Sus scrofa: one gene and its partner. The main gene of each other region encodes a partner of the protein of the gene in region 2 in a complex. Links are inferred from orthologs where the notes say so. Each region holds a gene or a part of one and is shown on either strand. Other genes may lie near its edges.

The links.
Region 1: POLR3G (region 2) and POLR3K share a complex: the UniProt entries of both Homo sapiens proteins name them as parts of the RNA polymerase III complex. The link is inferred for Sus scrofa from reciprocal best matches to the Homo sapiens genes POLR3G and POLR3K.

What each region holds. Positions count from the first base shown.
Region 1 is NC_010445.4:41,567,387-41,576,510, reverse strand, and holds POLR3K (DNA-directed RNA polymerase III subunit RPC10), read right to left. Parts: upstream 4,783-9,124; 5' UTR 4,739-4,782; coding exon 4,550-4,738; intron 3,188-4,549; coding exon 3,100-3,187; intron 2,466-3,099; coding exon 2,338-2,465; 3' UTR 1,467-2,337; downstream 1-1,466. Other genes in the region: RHBDF1 (inactive rhomboid protein 1), read right to left, coding at 8,985-9,124. UniProt on the Homo sapiens protein: Core component of RNA polymerase III (Pol III) which synthesizes small non-coding RNAs using the four ribonucleoside triphosphates as substrates. Can mediate Pol I proofreading of the nascent RNA transcript.
Region 2 is NC_010444.4:97,644,169-97,653,323, reverse strand, and holds the start of POLR3G (DNA-directed RNA polymerase III subunit RPC7), read right to left. Parts: upstream 5,069-9,155; 5' UTR 4,930-5,068; intron 1-4,929. Other genes in the region: MBLAC2 (metallo-beta-lactamase domain-containing protein 2), read left to right, coding at 5,633-6,086. UniProt on the Homo sapiens protein: DNA-dependent RNA polymerase catalyzes the transcription of DNA into RNA using the four ribonucleoside triphosphates as substrates.

The DNA of each region.
Region 1 (9,124 bases), on a different chromosome or scaffold from region 2:
TTAATGAAACTGACTAGGAACCATTAGGTTGAGGGTTCGATCCCTGCCCTTGCTCAGAGGGTTAGGGATCCGGCATTGCCGTGAGCTGTGGTGTAGGTTGCTCGGATCCCGTGTTGCTGTGGCTCTGGCGTAGGCCAGCGGATGCAGCTCCGATTCGACCCCTAGCCTGGGAACCTCCATAGGCCTCGGAAGCGGCCCTAGAAAAGGCAAAAAGCCAAAAAAAAAAAAAAAAAAAAAAAAAAGACGACACTAGAGACTTCCCCCAGGATAAAATCCCATTTGTGAAACCCGAACAAACAGTTCTGAGACAGAACCAATTACAGAGAACGGGCTCGGGCCTGGTCTCTGTGTTCTAATGATAAGAAAAGACTCATGTAAACCATGGCCCTAACAAGTAATCATCGGCATTCCCTGGTGGTTCAGTGCTTTGAGGACCTGGGGTTGTCACTGCTCTGGCTCAGGTCACTGCTGTAGTGCAGGTTCAACCCCTGGCCTGTGGACACCTGCGTGCCATGGGCCAACCAAAAAAACACATCGTAATTTCAGAGTTCCTATGGGGCTCAGTGGGTTAACAAACCGACATGCTGTCTGCGAGGATGCAGGTTCGATCCTTGGCCTCACTCAGGGCGTGAAGGATCGGGTGTTGCCACAAGTCGCAGTGTGGGTCACAGAGGGGGCTCGGATTCAGTGCTGCTGTGGCTGTGGTATAGGCAGGCGGCTACAGCTCTAATTCTACCCCTAGCCTGGGAAATTCCATGTGCTGCAGGTGCAGCCTTAAAAATAAATAAATAGTAATAATAATAATTTCTTGGAAAGATAAATCCCAAAAAAGTAAAAATCTACAGTGAAGGCATATATATATATACACATATATATTTCTTTTTTTTTTTTTTTTTTTTTTTTTTTGCCTTTTAGGGACGCACCCGCAGTATATGGAGGTTCCCAGGCTAGGGGTTGATTACAAGCTGTAGCCACTGGCTTACACCACACCCAGGAACTGAGCCGCGTCTGCGACCTACACCACAGCCCATGGCAACACCAGATCCTCAGCCCACCAAGTGAGGCCAGGGATTGAGCCCGCATCCTCATGGGTCCTAGTCAGATTTGTTTCCACTGCGCCATGACGGGAACTCCGAAGGCATAAATTCACGTCCCATTATTTCATGAGTGAGACTCCATTATTAAGAGATTTGGCTCAGGGAACTAGAGTCCACCTCCTGTAATCAACCACGATGGAAAAAAACAATGAAAAAGACGAGTTCCCGTCATGGCTCAGGGAAAAGGAATCCAACTAGTATCCATGAGGACGCAGATCTGAGCCCTGGCCTTGCTCAGTGGGCAGCTGGGATGCTGTGGGGTAGGCCAGCGGCTAGTTCCGATTCGACTCCTAGCCTGGGAACCACCACACACCGTGGGTACGGTCCTAAAGAGACAAAAAAAAAAAAAGACCAGGAAAAAAAAAAGACGAAAAAGAATATAATTCAATCACTTTGTTGTACAGCAGTAACTAATCCAACATGTTAAATCAACTAGAGTTTAATAAAACGAATTTCAAAGGAGAGAGAGAAAGATCTGGAAAAGCAATGACATCTGAGGTCCTGAGCAAGAATTCAATCCATCAATAACCAAGATCCTGCCCCCTGCTGGCCCTCAGGTGTCCTTTTCCCCTTTAGAGGAGAGAGATGGACAAAGCATCAAGTATCAAAGAAATACCATCTCCTAAGTTTACCGCAATCCCAGGAATTGAGAATCAAAATAATAAAAGAAAATCCACGCCATTGACAATGTCATAACCACACTAGTCCTACACACAGGAGTCAGTTTTGGATTCTTGTTTTGGGATTTGGCGTCTCCACCTTAAGGCATTTAAAACCCTGAGAAGGTGGTATCGGATTTTAATTTTAAGTAAATATTCAGAATAAACGCTGATCCACCGAGTTTGCAACTAACAGCTAAATACTTAAGGACAGCTAGTGTTCTAAGTCAAAGCCCCATTTTCTTGGGTGTGCCAACATATAAATAAATGTTTACGAGCGTCAGCTGGTGGCGAGAGAAAGCTCACTGCCCACTAAACGGGAAAGATGGATAACAGGACCCTAAATAAGACGCACTTGGTGTGGCCACTGCCCCCAAACACAAGTTCTCCCTGGACGTCAGCAAATTCATCCACTGCCTGGGCGATGGGGGCCATCTCCTGGCCCCCCGGCCGGGCCACTCTGAGAAGGCTGGCTTTCTGCCACACCGGCAAAGATGCTCAGAACCCGCAGTTCCCTTCCAGCTGGGAATCCGCCCTGGGGAATGAGGTGAGCAGATGCTGGGCAGCGGGGCCACCCGGCCCTAGTCCCTCCAGCGGTGTCCACACTGAGCATTGCAGCACTTGTAGAAGGTGGTCATGGGCTCGTCGGCAGAGCGGGTCTGGAGCTGCATGAAATAGGCCCGAGGATGCTCACACTTGGGACACGGCTCTGGCGTGAGAAAAACAAGGGACCCACGGTTACTTCAAAAAGGATGCCCAGTGTGGCACAGAGGCTGAAGAATCCGACTGCAGCGGCCTGGGTTGCGGCTGCGGCGCGGACCAAGTCCCTGGCCGGGGAACTTGTGGCATGTGGAGGTAGCCCAGAAAGGTCACGGTCATAAGGCAGTAAGCCACCTCAAGATTCGAAATCAGGTCTGAACAGCTCCAAAGCTTGTGCCGACACTGGTTTTGGAACAAAGAAAGTATCAAGGAAGGAGTTCCTGTTGTGGCGCAGCGGAAACGAATCCGACTAGGAACCATGAGGTTGTGGGTTCAATCCCTGGTCTCACTCAGTGGGTAAAGGATCTGGCCTTGCTGTGGCTGGGGTGGAGGCCAGCGGCTGCAGCTCTGATTAGACCCCTAGCCTGGGAACCTCCATATGCCGTGGGTGGGGCCCTAAAAAGCAAAAAACAAACAAACCAAAAAAACCACCACATGAATAAATAAAAATTTCTAAGAAATTATTAAGGAAGAAAATATAGACTTCCTCTTCGCAGAAGCACAAGCAGACTGCCACGGAGGGGCAGAGTCAGCAGCCCCGTACCATCCACAGCTCTGCCCGGGAACAGGCCTCTCCCTCTCACCTGCGGTGGAGTCGACGTTCTCCCAGGCAGCTGCTCCACCAAGCACGTCATCCACTTCTTTCAGCTTTGGGTACTTCCGATTCGTTACCTAACAAACAACAGCCACTCTTCAGTCTCTCCAACTGACTGAACCGCACACCCCAGGATCACCTAACCACACCTGCCCGCAGGTGTCTGGCTTCTTCCACCCTTCAACCCGGACGGGAGGGGTACTGGACAGGCAGAGGCCCTGCTCCATCAGAACTTAGAGGACCCATGATTGGACTGCCCCAAGAGAAGGTCTCTGCAAGGACTGGACAAAGCAAGAGGAGCAAGAGAAGCATGGCTCGGGTATGGCCCTCCTCTTCTCCCACACCCCCTAAGGCTGGGTAGCCCGAGACGAGGCCCCAGAGAACTGAGGCCAAAGAAGGGCAATCTCAGCCGGGGAGCCGCCCCCCCCCCCCAGGCTCCGGGCAGAGCTTTCTAAGCACTTGCCAGGTTCTACCAGCCGTCCTTGACCTGTCGGGGTAGGTAAGAGTCCACCCTCCGCGTCGTTTCAGACCCTAAACTCCCACAACACGGCCACATGGCAGGACACTATACAAATCTATACAAATACTAAGGAGAAAGTAGCACTTGGGAGTTCCCTGCTGGCTCAGCGGGTTACCGCCCTGGTTCTGTCCCGGTTCTGTCGCTGCTGTGGTGCAGGTTTGCAGGTGTGGAAAGCGACATAAGCAAAAGAAATCTTGGTGACTCCATTTTGCTGAAATGCCTTCCTGCAACCCCCCCCCCTTCCCTCTTCTCCCAGTAACAGTTTGTTTCAAATTAGCCAACTGGGAAGAACGTGCACCCTGACCTGACCCACGGGAAGGGGACAGGGTACATCCCCTGTGTTAGGGATAAACAGGGGAGGGTCCTTTGTTCGGGGCACGCGCACTTTTTGGGGTGCCCAGCGCCCTTCTGCAGCAGTAAAGAGCCTTGTCGAGATCTCCCCGTGTTCACGTGCCTCATTTTTCGACAATGACGATCCGAGCCACGTCCCCAGCACAAGGAACTTGTGCATGCCAGGGTGCCGGGGGCGCGGCCAAAACAAAAACTAAACAAACAAAAAGAAAGAAAGAAAAGAAAGTATACTGGAAGGCAGTGAGCCCTATATGAAAAATAAAACTAGGGAACGGAAAGGCCGCATTTATATAAACAATCCCTTAGGTAAATACAGGCAGGAGTGACAGGAACGAGTGAGTCCCTAGGGGAAGAGCGACTAGAACAGAAAACTCCTGCACAGACCCTGGAAGCAGCGCCTTGGGCAAGACCGGGGCGCCTCCGAGAGGCTGGCGGTGCGGGCAAGAGGCTGCTGGGACGCGAAACCCAAGCAGAGGACGGAGCTAGGGGAGGTGAGGGTCAGGGCCTGGCGCGCTCCGCGAGAACGACGGCTGCGGCCCTGCGTGCCGGGAGGCCGGCGCGGACCCACCTTGCGGGTGATGTTGTGCACATAGGGGCAGGTGTTGCAGGCGAAGCGGTGGCAGCGCTGACCCTCCTCCACAATCAGCCCGTTCCCGCAGCCTGGGCAGAAGAGCAGCATCACGACAGCCCAGCCTACGCTCCCTGCAGCTCCCTGGCCGTGGACTCCGGGGGCTTCCGGGCGCCCCGAACTCCCCATTGGTCCCGGCGGCCGCCTCTCAGCAATCAGCCCACCAGTAGGCACGTCGGCTCCGCACTCCCAGTGTGCACTGCGGCAGGCTGGCTCCCAAAGCATCATTTCTCATTGGTCCTGGCGGTAGCCCCGCCCCTCGACCAAAGGCCGGGCCGTGGGTGGCTTTCCCCGCGGGAAGCCCGGGAATCCCGGGCCCGGGTCGCGAGAGGCGGTGTGGGGGCGGAACCCGCGGGCTGCGAGGCGCCCTGGAGGTGGCGGGGGCCTCGGGACGGCCAGAGCCGCAGGAGGACGAGGAGGATGAGGAAGAGGCACTGCCGCACTCCGAGGCGGTGGACGTTTTCCAAGAGGGTCTGGCCATGGTGGTGCAGGACCCGCTGCTCTGCGACCTTCCGATCCAGGTGCGCATGGGTCGGGGCCTCTTCCCCCGCTCCGGAGCCCAGCGTCAGGGAGAGGACCGATTCTGGGGTACCGATGATGGCAGCGGCCCGGAGACCTCCAGAAGCGGCCTCAGGGCGTAAACGAGGGTCTAGGCTCCGACTGGGCCTGGGAGGCGAGCGAGGCACTGGTCTCCGGCGCGGCATTTACGAAGGGTTCCCTGGTAGTCTAGCGGTTAAGAACTCCGCCATTGTCACTGCTGTGGCTCGGGTGCTGCTGGGCGTGCGTTCGACTGGCAGAGGAACTCTCGCATGCTGCGGGCATGGCCAAAAAAAAAATAAAAAAGGAGCGCCAAAAACCCGCTAGTCAGGACACATGACATTTCAGTATAGTGTTTTGGTTGGTTTAGGAGGTTTTTTGTTGTTTCGGCTTTTTGTTTTTGTCTTTTTAGGGCCGCACCTGGGGCATATGGAAATTCCCAGGCTAGGGCTGGAATCCGCTGGCCTACACCACAGCCACAGCAACTCAGGATCCAGAGCGGCATCTGCGACCTTCAACACAGCTCATGGGCAACGCAGGATCCTTGACCCACTGAGTGGGGCCAGGGATGGAAACTCCAGTACAGTGTTTTTAAAACTCAACATTGGTTTATAAAGACCTAGGGTAAACAAAATGATATCATGTCAGATAAAAAGACCAGTATTAAAGATTTCTGGAGTTCCCATCATGGCTCAGTGGTTAACGAATCCGACTAGGAACCATGAAGTTGCAGGTTCGACCCCTCCCTGGCCTTGCTCAGTGGGTGAAGGATCTGGCGTTGCTGTGAACTGTGGTGTAGGCTAGTGGCTACAGCTCCGATTAGACCCCTAGCCTTGGAACCTTCATATGCCGCCAGTGCAGCCCTAAAAAACCAAAAAAATGAAAAATAATAAAGATTTCTCCATTCTCCTCAGGCTTCAGTATGACCTGGCACACTCCTGTTTTTAAATCTTTGTATTTTGCCCATCATGAAAATGTTAAATTAGTTTGTTTTCTTGATAGTGGTATTCGTCTTCTGTTGCCCCGGTAAATGTTGCACCCCTGCCCCAGCCTTGCCTGGGGCCCCAGGGCCTGAGGGTTTTTTTGGGGGCAGGGGGAGCCCTCCCAGGCTGGGCACTCAGGCCCAGGGCTGCCCCTCCCATCCAGCTGCTGGGCCGGAGGAGCAAGGGCTGCTCCTCAAGGAGGCTGTTTCTCTGCTCTCCTCTCCCGGGTCTCCGCCTCCTTGGCAAAGGTGACCAGGACTTGAGATGGAGGTGCTGAAACACTGGGACCCCCCCTAACCCGTAGGCAAGAACGTTCCCCAAATATGGTACCGCTTTGTTTGAATGATGGGCTGGTTCTTCTTCCCTTTTGTTTGGGGCGGTGAAGCAAGCTCCCGCCCCCAGCCTGGGTCTCTTCTAGGTTACTTTGGAAGAAGTCAATTCCCAAATAGCCCTCGAATATGGCCAAGCGATGACAGTCCGAGTGTGCAAGACCGATGGAGAAGTCATGCGTAGGTGCCGCCTCCTACCATCTCAGGCTGAGGGGCGGAACTCGGGGGAGGGCCTTAGCAGGGCCGGTCAGGGGCAAAGTCGGGGCCTGGCCCGGGGCCTTGGGAGAACGCGAGGGCTCCCTGGCCAGACTTGAGCCTCAGGAGGAAACAGGGCTCAGCAGAGCTCATGGCCCTCTTGCCAGCGGGGGTGGTGGCTGCGGATCCCCACCGCAGGTCTTCCTGCTTGCAGCTGTGGTTGTCGTCCAGAACGCCACAGTCCTGGACCTGAAGAAAGCCATCCAGAGATACGTGCAGCTCAGGCAGGAGCGAGAAGGAGGCGTTCAACACATCAGCTGGTGAGTGGAGCCGCGGCTCCTCGCAGCCCTTCCTGGGAGAAAGTGTGGAGCCCACTGAGCGCCTGCGGGACATGGGCTCGTCCATCGCCCAGGCTCCGCTGCAGAGCGCAGGCCAGAGCACTGACTCCCTGCCCCAGGTTCACACGGGTCTGGAACCGGGCAGCCACGTGTCTTCACGTGGGGCTCCCTCAGGGCCCTTCCCGTGAGTGCGGAGGTGGTGTCCGTTGTCTCAGATGGTGCAGTGTCCGCCCCTTGCCTGGGTGCTGTCAGCCCTCAGTCTCCTTCGGGATCAGCCGTGTCATCTCAGCACAGCCGCTGTTTCCTTAGCGAGGGGCCTGCTCCCAGCCCCCCACGCATCCCTCAGAGCAGTGCCTCCCCGTTCCCGCCTCAGGCCTGGGGCACGCATGGTCCAGGGCAAGATCCCACAAGAGGGGCCTGGCTGCCATGGGCCCTCCTCACTCTGCTCCCAGGTCACGAGTCCCCATCTTGCAGGTCCTATGTGTGGAGGACATACCACCTGATGGCTGCGGGAGAGAAGCTCACAGAGGACCGGAAGAAGCTCCGAGAGTAAGTCTAGGCCGTATCCTGAGCTTCAGCACTGTTGCCCTCTTGTTCCCTGTGCTCTGCCCTCGGGCTCGCGTCCCCCCAGGGGCTCTTAAAGGAAGGTGGATCCTTGGAGTTCCCGTCGTGGCTCAGTGGTTAACGAATCCGACTAGGAACCGTGAGGTTGCGGGTTCGATCCCTGGCCTCGCTCAGTGGGTTAAGGACCCGGCGTTGCGCTGAGCCGTGCTGTAGGTCGCAGACGCAGCTTGGATCCCGCCTTGCTGTGGCTCTGGCGTAGGCCGGTGGCTGCAGCTCCGATTGGACCCCTAGCCTGGGAAACTCCATGTGCCGTGGGAAGCGGCCCTAGAAAAAGGCCAAAAGACAAAAAGGAAAAAAAAGGAAGGTGGACCCTAAATCAGTTCCCGGGGAGTGTGGGGGGTGGGGGGTCCTTGGTTGGACTGAGGCCCCCTGCCAGGTGGGCGGAGGCAGAGCAGCAGCGCCAGGCCCCTGCTAGTGGCAGTTCCGGGCAGCAGAGCCAGGAGACAATTCAGAGTGCGAGGCGGCAGGAGGATGGCCGCTGCCCCCTCCCCACCTCGATGACGCCACGCTCGTGCCGCCTGGTCTCTGCTGCCCTCACAAGCCCAGGGTGCGGGGTCACCACAGCGACTTTCCTTCTCTCTCAGTTACGGCATCCGGAACCGGGATGAGGTGTCTTTCATCAAAAAGCTGCGACAGAAGTGAGTCTCTAGACAGGGACGCCTCCTGTGCTGGCGGCCAGGCTCGTCCCCAGCAGGACACCATGGGCCACTCACTGTGCCCTTTTCCCAGAGGAGGGTGGAGATCGCCTTACACCAGCTGGACCTGGCTGGACGGTCAAGGTGAACCCCGATGGTGTGGCCGATCCCACGGGGCTGTGGGCTTGGCCCTGTGTACCAAATAAACCTATTTGCTTCTTCATTTGCAAAGTCGAGCCATGGTTGCGGGGCAGGGGTGGGGGGGAATGTGCAGGTGAGTCCCCACAGCCTGGATGCTGCACCAGAGCCCTTGGCCACCCTGCTCCCTAAGCCACACAAGCCTGTCTCCGTGCTCCCGACAGCAAGGAGGCTGGCTGCCTCTTCTGGGCCCAGCCATGGGCCGTCACCTCCACTGGTGCCTCGCTGTGCCCGCACCGGCTCCTGGAGAAGCTCCTGGGGGCGGGGGTGGGGGGGTCTCGGTGCACCTGGGGAGCTGGCACCACACACGCTCGGTCCTGGTCCCCCTGGTGCCTCCCGTCCCTTCTGCAGCAAGGGGACAGAGTGTGTCCACCCGGCCGAGGACTTCACTGGGAATGGTTCTGGGGACTCGTGAGGGGGAGGCCTGGGGCCCAGCCAGAACCCAGAAAGGCAGAGGCAGCCCTGGTCACGTTAGTGGCAGCTAAAACGCTCCCGGTCCGTTTATTGGCCACGCGAGGTGGTCGTCAAGAGACTAGTTAGAGGGGAACATGGGAACCAGGGCGGGAAGTGCCCAGAAGCACCAGGGCTTCGGCAACAGGGTCTGTGTGCGGGAGACGCGCTGCACTGCAGGCGGCGGCCAAGCCCACCCGCCTGCGCAGCCCTGGCGGCTCAGTGC
Region 2 (9,155 bases):
GAAAAAGCACTCGGTCTCAGGGTTTGATGATCTTTCCCACACCATTACCTCTAGCAATGATAGTGATCTTTGTCCTGAGTTTTAGTCCATTTTCTTACTACCAAAAGAATATTTGGACAGTACCGTAAACTTAAAATACGGAGATCATCTTCTCTCTATACTAACTAGCTTGCCTTTCATGTATAATGTCCCTATTTCTATCCATGGTATTTTATTTTCCCAGTGACCAATATTTGAAGATTTGGAGTGAGTCAGTATTGATTCCTCATTCTGTTCCACACCTCCTAAGAAATCAATCATCTAATTGTTCCTTCAAAATGTCCCTTCCTTTCTGGAGTTGCCGTCGTGGCGCAGTGGTTAACGAATCCGACTAGGAACCATGAGGTTGCGGGTTTGGTCCCTGCCCTTGCTCAGTGGATCCGGCGTTGCCATGAGCTGTGGTGCAGGTTGCAGAGGCGGTTTGGATCTGGTGTTGCTGTGGTTCTGGCGAAGGCCGGCAGCTACAGCTCCGATTGGACCCCTAGCCTGGGAACCTCCATATGCCGCTGGAGCGGCCCTAGAAAAGGCAAAATGCAAAAAAAAAAAAAAAAAAAGTCTCTTCCTTTCCATTTTTTCTACCATAATCCAGTTCAGCTCTTTTCTACTTCCCTTTTTTTTTTTTTTTTTTTTTTTTTTTTTTTGGTAGGGCCGCACTTGCAGTATATGGAGGTTCCCAGGCTAGGGGTCAAATCGGAGCTGAAGCTGCCGGCCTACGCCGGAACCACAGCAACGCGGGATCTGAGCCGTGTCTGCGACCTACACCACAACTCACCGTAACGCCGGGTCCTTGACCCACTGAGCAACGCCAGGGATCAAACCCGCAACTTATAGTTCCTAGTCGGATTTGTTAACCACTGAACCACGATGGGAACTCTCTCTACTTCACTTTTGACTAGCTGCAAATTTTGTGGTATCTCCTGTTCTTCCTATTTAATTTATTCTCTCACATTATTCATCCTAAAGCATCATTCTGATTATGCTTCTCTTGTCATTTTCCCTCTCGGCTAGAGATTAAATCCCAGCTCCGTAGCCAGGTATTCAGAGCCCTTTTAAAATGGCTGCACTGATCCTCCTGACTCACTTGCCTGTAATCATGTCTTAACTACCATTTGCTCCAATAGAGAAACCTCTTCTTCTCTATCTGACTGCATCCATTTTCACATTAAGATCCAGCTTAAGTCCCTCAACATTCACAACTGTCATTTCATTCCACCTTGCTCCTGGAAAGATCCTCCTGTTAAATTAAATGGATTTTTAAAAATTGAGGTGATACATATTGTTCCACTCTTCAATTCTGGAAGAAATACAGACAATGCCCCTTTTGGGAAATGGGCCTTTTCCAAAGAGAAGGAGTTTCAATTCCATTTTTGTTTATTTGTTTGTTTCTTCCACTGTATTAACAGCAGAGATTTCATATACCTACTACCTAGAAGAGTGCTCTCTATACAGCAACAGCTCTATAATCAATGTTAAGCTTTCCTTATTTGTTTACTTATTGTGATTTTATGAGCAAATCTCCCTACAGAAATACAATTCAGTCTGCTCACTTATTAAGGTTTTTGGTTTTTAACTTCTAGAATAAGTTTGGGACCCAGCTGTACACTAGAATCATCAGGAGAGTTAAAATAAACCAACCAACCAACAAACAAAAAGCTCTCAAGCATCACGCTGGAACAACGCATTCACCTCAGAATCTCTGAAGATAGGATTTAGGCAATAGGACCTTTTGTTTTTTCTTTTTTTTTTTTTTTTTTTTTTTTTTTTGTCTTTTTAGGGCCACATCCGCAGCATATGGAGGTTCTCAGGCTAGGGGTCAAATCAGAGCTACAGCTGCCCACCTATGCCAGATCCATAGCATCTTGAGATCGGAGCTGTGACTGAGACCTACACCACAGTTCACTGGCAACAGCAGATCCTTTACCCACTGATTGAGACCAGGGATCGAACCTGCATCCTCATGGATACCAGTGGGGTTCATTAATGCTGAGCCACGACAGGAACTCCCTAGCACTTTTTAAGGCATCCCAGGAGATTACGTGTAACCTAAGTTAAGAACCACTGCTCCAGACTAAATTTCCTGTTATATAGAAGAGGAAAGTGAGACTATGAAGTCCGAAGTCCATTGAGTGCCTAAAGACAAAGAATTAATTCCTAACAAAGATAAGACTGCATTAAAGTGTCAGGATACCCTTCCATTGTCCTTAGCATTTATATTATGCTGCCTGCAGCACACTACCAGGTTAGCTGAAGACCTTTTAAATCGCAGAGATGTCTTTAATCTTTACAATGAAGTGGAATAGTAATGACCAAATGGATTGGATTTAAAAATATAAAATCAGAGGCACCACCCTTCCATTCTGGGATGCTTTCTGAAAATTTCTGTTCAGAAGTGTTCTAAAATAGTTTGACAAGTGCAGTTCAAGCATCCAAGAGCTGAAATGCAAAAGCATGGAAACAATCTTGTGGCAGAGGTTGCGCTCATGCCCGAAATTCCTCCTAGCTCTAACCTTGTGAGTTATAATTGTGGCTTAAATGTATTGTCTTCCACTTCTCACAGTCTCTTGCACAAATTTGCTAAGTGAATAAACATATAAGCAGGTATGGATTCTGAGAGAGGCACTGAAAGTCTGGTCACAGTATCCTTCCTGATGAATGACACTTAAATTGCCCTATTCAGAAGCTGGTCCTGTTGACCTTGTCCTCGACTCCCTTGATATCCTCATTTAATGGTAGAAGACTATCAGTTCTGTGTCCCCTTTCACATATCTGCCTTTCTTCACCATCCCTGACCCGGACCAACCTTCCCATAGCCAGACTTCCTCTTTCAAACCACTCTCCAGACATCCCTCTAGAACATAAACCTTGATGTTTCACTCTCCTTCTTAAGCAACAGAGCTTTGGAGTCTGACTTTGTGCATCTGGCACCTTCTCCTTTCCTGACCACTCCCAAATCTGCCATATCAGCTCTTGCTTGTAGTGTTCTTTCTGCTGGGATGCCACATCCACCTGAGCAAGCCCCATCATCATTTAAGATACCATGCAAATGCCACTTCTCTGAGACCATTTCCTCCACCCTAAGTGGAGCTAGGCCTCTCTCTTTTCTGTCTCCCAAATACTACCCTGTTTTATTACCATTTAAAAAGCATGTTGTAATCATCAGTTCTTGTCTGTCTCCCCATAAGTTCTTCAGTTATCCTTCTTCAAGTATTAATTAAGCACTCTTAGGTCAGGCCATCTTCTATGAATTGGGAATATAATAGTGAATAAAACAAAACCCCTGTTTTCATGGTGCTTAGAGTCTACTACAGGAAAGGGAAAAAATATTTCATAGAAAATGTCAGGTAGTGATCAGTGATGTGGAAAAAAAAAGCAGGAAACATGGGTGCTATTACAGAAAGAGTGGTTGAAGAGGTCCTGTATTCTGTAATATTTGAGCACAAAACTGACAGAAGGAAAAGGCCATGCTGAGAATCAGGAAAGGATATACAAGGGAAAGTGTAATACAAGCAGAAGGATCTGTAAGTGTGAAGGCCTCTTTGAAGATTTATTCACCTCTTCCTGCCCCATCACCAACTAGAGCCTGGCAAAAGTCCAATAAAAATTGGATGAATTATTGCTGAGCTCATGGCTTAGTAAGAATATCACTCCAATTCACCTCCCTTTACCTAGAGGAAAAATAAAACTACAGAGAGCTCTCTACTTTCGTGCTGAGAACATCCTAACAACAGTGGTCTTTTAAGGCCAGCTCAAATGCCTCTACTCATCAGTCCCTTCCATGCATATTCTCATAGCACCTGGTTTTTACTTCCTCTGGGGTACATATCTCATTTGCTTTTTACTGCAAACATTTTTGTGAAGATATTGCTTCCCTCAAATTCCTGAGAACCCAGATCATGACTTTAAAAAAAAAAAAAAAACAACACAATTCTGTTTTTCACACATCATTTAGCTGAGGGACTTGTACATAAGGATAGCCCTGAACAGAGTGTCTGGATAAATTCTAACTAGGTTAGGTAAACATTCAGAAAAGTTGCATCCCCCTCAAAGACTTAAGGTTTATAGGGAAGGAGAGAACACCTCTCCCTCTATGAAGGCTTATTAGTAGCTGAGACAATAAGGGTTTTCATAATTATCTTTTATAATGCTGTCTCATGGGTCTCTTTATAATTTTTCCTGGCTGGATAGGGAGGTTAGTCGAGTTCTCAAGGGAATTGTTTAAGTCTGAATGGATATACCAACAGCGAGGAGCTGAGGGATGGGGACAGGGACCTTATGTTAATACTAGGGATGATTTTTTCAGCTGATGGGGCCACACCCAATCATTATCCACTTTTCCTGCCCTCACAAGGTGCAGCTGCCTCCACCCTTCCTTAGTTGAGCCTTTCTACCAACTTTCTTTGCTCTCTTCCAACAGCGGGCAAAGTAACCAAAACAAGGAAGGGGAGGGGAAGGAATATATAATTTAATTTTTCAGAAGAGAAGTAAAACCTTATCAACAACACCTCTCCTCACAGTACAGGGTAAAGTGCTAACGGTAAAAAACAAAAAACAAAAAACGTACTGAATAGTGCGTCCTTAGCAGCAAGTCTGCGGCAATGACTCGTGTTTGAAGCAATCATACCATCGGAATTGAAAATCAACCATCAGTAAAAGCATAAATTCCCTTCGAACTCACTGAAAACAGTCCTAATAAGTGGAGACAAGATAAAATCTGGAACGACGATTTCAAAAGATTGTGAAGGGATTAAGAGATCTCGCTACGTCCCTCAATCCAGAGGCTCTTTAATGAATCTCCACTCCTGCCTTCCCCGGTCTTTTCCACGTGCCCCTTTAACTCCCCCCCCTACTCATTCCATCTCCTCCCAACCCCTCCATTGCCTCCTCTGTTACCTGCTTACTAAGTCTCGAAGCTTGAGAAAACTGTGCGGCCGAAGTGCCGGCCGGCAAGGAAGGGGTGCGGACAGAAGGTTCCGACGCCGAGTGCTGGTTCCACCTCTGGAAAAACGCGCTCCGCCCTCCACGAGGCCTCAGAATCGCGTTCCGATCGCACCAGTTAGCTCCGCCCACTCGCTAGGTAGGCCCCGCCCTCTGGGGAGAGAGCTTTTTATCCCTTGGCGGGAACCGTACCGGTCCAACCTCCTTGGCCTGACTCTTTCTGCGCCGGCTGGAAGTGCGCATCACGGCGCGCGGTGTGTGGGCGGCCCTGGGGCCTTCCAAACCTGGCCCCTGCCCTCTACAGTCAAACACCTGGCGGTAGGAAGAGTGTCGCTTTCTGAATCCCTTGTCTACTGAATTGACGCTACTTTCTGCTGTGGCCTCTGATGCTGCGATTGTTTCTGCACCGGGGTGCAAGGAGATAGGTCTCTGTTCTTTGCGGACCGGGAGGGAGGGTGCGGAAGGCAGCGTCTCCGAGAGTCCTTCCTCCTCCCAGTTCTCCTCCCACTCCTTTTGCATCCCCCGCCCCCTTCTTGCTCTGCGCCTTCTTCCCGACTGCAGGCAGACCAGTCTATCCCGCCGCAGCGCCGGAGTCTGGGCAGCCTGCAGGAGGCACACACGCCCACACCCACTCCGCCTGGCCGCATCCCTACTCAGCATGTCGGCGCTCGAGTGGTACGCCCACAAGTCTCTGGGCGACGGTATCTTCTGGATTCAGGAACGCTTCTATGAGTCAGGCAACCGCGCCAACATCTGGCTAGTGCGAGGCTCGGAGCAAGACGTTGTGATCGACACAGGCCTGGGCCTGCGCAGCCTCCCGGAGTACCTGTACTCTTCTGGCCTTTTGCAGGACCGCGAGGCCAAAGAGGATGCGGCATGCCGGCCACTGCTGGCTGTGGCCACTCACGTGCATTTCGACCACTCCGGCGGCCTCTACCAGTTCGACCGGGTGGCAGTGCACCACGCCGAGGCCGAGGCGCTGGCTCGCGGGGACAACTTTGAAACCGTGACCTGGCTGTCCGACAGTGAGGTGGTCCGGGCTCCGAGCCCCGGCTGGAGGGCCAGGCAGTTTCGAGTGCAGGCGGTGCAGCCCACCCTCATCCTGCAGGATGGTAATGGCCCTTCACGAGCGCGCGCTCTCTCATTAAGGGAAGGGATTGGGGAGAAACTGTCCGAGGAGTGCTTGTTGCAGACGTGCGTGGCTGTAAGGGGCCTTATTTTGTCCCATCGCAGAAACACTACTTCTGTTTCACCCTTCCTGATTCAAAACCCCAGTCGACATCAGGTCGATGGTAGGCCGTCTTAGTCCTCCTTACCGGAGACCAGCTCTGGCACCGGGTAGCAATGCAGAGTACTCAAATGAGAGCCGGCCCCACCCCCTAGTCAGTTTCCTGTGTAACGTACAGCAATAACACCAACAGAGTCTTATATCTAGGATTTCCATTCTTTCCCCAAACATCTGTCCGACATTTTCAGGCACTTTTCTAGCGAAAAGTCTTCCTTAAAAGGAATGACGCCTCATGGAGAGTGCATGTCATGCTCTATGCTTTTGAGAACTGCTGACTTCATCTGCCCGGTTCACACCTGTAGGCTTAGAAAGCCATTAGAGAGCAGTCAGTGGTTTCAAACTGTTCATTCATCCTTATCTTCCAGATAGGTTTCTGTTCTTGATGTTGCCTCACAAGAGAAGAAGCTTGATAGTGAACATAAAAAGTAGAGTATGTCTGAATCTTAGAGTATGGCAGCTCTCTGTTCTGGTTGAAAGCAAGGCCTGAGAAAGATTAATGAATGAGGAGGCTGTTTCCGATGATGGTGAAGTATGTGGACTGATGCATAAATCACCTTGGGCTTCTTGGCTCTGAAAAAACAAGATGGGGTTCAGAAAGAATAAAATAGGATAGGGTTCCTGCCCTTCCAGCTCTACACAGGCACTTAAATAATTGAACCAGTCATAGCAGTGCTGTTTGTATATTTTCTTTTTAGGATGCTTTTGATGATTTCATTTAATCCTGACAACTCATTGGAAGCGAGGTTGCTGACCCCTAATTAAATGGCTTGCCTAGAATTTACAGAACAAGATAGTAACAAGAGCTAGGATTTGAACCCAGGTGCAATAAGATCAAAGCATGCAGCTCTCACGTTAATCCTCCATAAAACTGGTAATTCTGAGTAGGATGTGAAAGTCCCTTTCATTTCTATCGTGAAACCATTTTATTTGCCAATTTAATCTATTAAATCCTTCCTCTAAGAGGTGGAAAAATCTAGTTGCTGCAGTACAGTAAGGTTCATTTTATGACCAACCAGTATGCAATAATGAAATATTTTACAAAAATGAGATCTTGATCACATGAGATATAAAAAATAGAAAGCAAGATTGTATATCTCACACCCTGCTTAAAAAGTCTTCATTAAAATTTTAAATCTAAAAATTAAAAAAAAAAAAACCCATGGGTTTAGATGGGAGTCCTACTTTACCTGACAATTTCAGATGAAAGAAAACTACATTTACATTAAATGTGCTTTTAGTTACTGTATTTCTTGATTAAACTGACACATTTAAAGGTAGGATTTCCATGGTGTTGATTGGTATTCAGACTAAACTCTGACACCCAGGACAAAAAGTCTTTACATAAGTATTTAAAATATATTTAAATTATCTAAATGAATAAATTTTTATTTATTTACTTTTTGCTCCTTTACCAGAAATAGGAAATCAATGATGAAAGAATGATAGAAATTATTGTTTTATAGATGGAATCCAAGCAAGCTTGAATATCATGCCTGGGGTCACATAGCCAAGTTAGGGAAAGAACTGGGACTAGAATCCAGGTTTCCTAAATCCCAGTTGATGGTAAAATTATAGTATTTTGGAATTGCAAGTAGCTTGCAAGTCACCTGTGCAGTGCTTTAAGCCTTTGAAAGTGTGAAAAGAAAGCTCAGTATTTACTACACACTTTGAAGGTGGTAATTCTATGTAAATTAAAATTTGTTTTTCATTAGAAGCTGGATGCCTCATGCCCTCAAATAGTATCTAATTTCCTCTTTTCTCAGGAATATTAATTTCCTGTCTCTTCTGAATGGTGTGGCTTGCTAACTTGATATTATCATTAATGCAGATGTCTGGAAGGAGATCTAGAAAAACTCATACACAGTTCCACATACATGAACAGAACATACCTAACTAACAGCATAACATCTTTATTGTTTTGGTTAGAACGTAAGACTGAATTCATCAGCTTATGTCATTTCATTTAGTGTTTTGATGACCTCTTGTCATGGAAAGATACAAATCTGTGTACTGTTTCACTAACCCAAAAGCTGAGTTGGATGTGAGGGACAAGGAGAGATCATCATTCTGTGCATCATCTTTGATGGAAAATCATCTTTAATGAAAAAAACAACTCTTCCTACTAATAGTAAAGTTGTATCTTCCTTTAAGAAGATAGCAATAAACCTTAGGTTATACAGCACATTCTTGAGTGGGCACACATCATTTGGACTATTTTTCATAATATTCAAGTAATATGAAGTGCAGGCATTTTGACCTCTATTGTCCATGTTTAAATAATTTTCCCAGAGTCACCAACATATTAGAACAGTTTTTCAGGTGAACTTAAATCATGTGAAGAGGTTAAAAACAAAAAACAGATTCCAGAAAGGAAGCAGCAATTTGAACAAACACATCTAATGTGATTCCTTCTCAAAACCACACTAAGATTACTGCAAGTGAACCATGATTTGTCTATTTTATGTATAAATTCACATTGACTGAGGTTCTATTTTGGATACTGGAGAATAAATATGGTGATCGAGTTAGCAGGTTTGTGTTTGTTTGTTTGTCTTTTTAAGGGCCGTACCCACAGCATATGGAGGTTCCCAGGCTTGGGGTCTAATCAGAGCTGTTCCTGTCGGCCTACACCAGAGCCACAGCAACACCAGATCCAAGCCGCGTCTGCAACCTACACCACAGCTCAGAGCAAGTTGGATCTTTAAGTCAGTGAGCGAGGCCAGGGATCAAACCCACAGCCTCATGGTTCCTAGTCGGATTCGTTTCCGTTGAGCCACAATGGGAACTCCTGGGTTAGCTGTCTTATCCTATGCTGGCAATGGAAAATTCAGAACCATTCAGGTTTGCACTGCAGGAGACCTAAAAGGCTCAGGAATTAGCACTAGCTGGTACT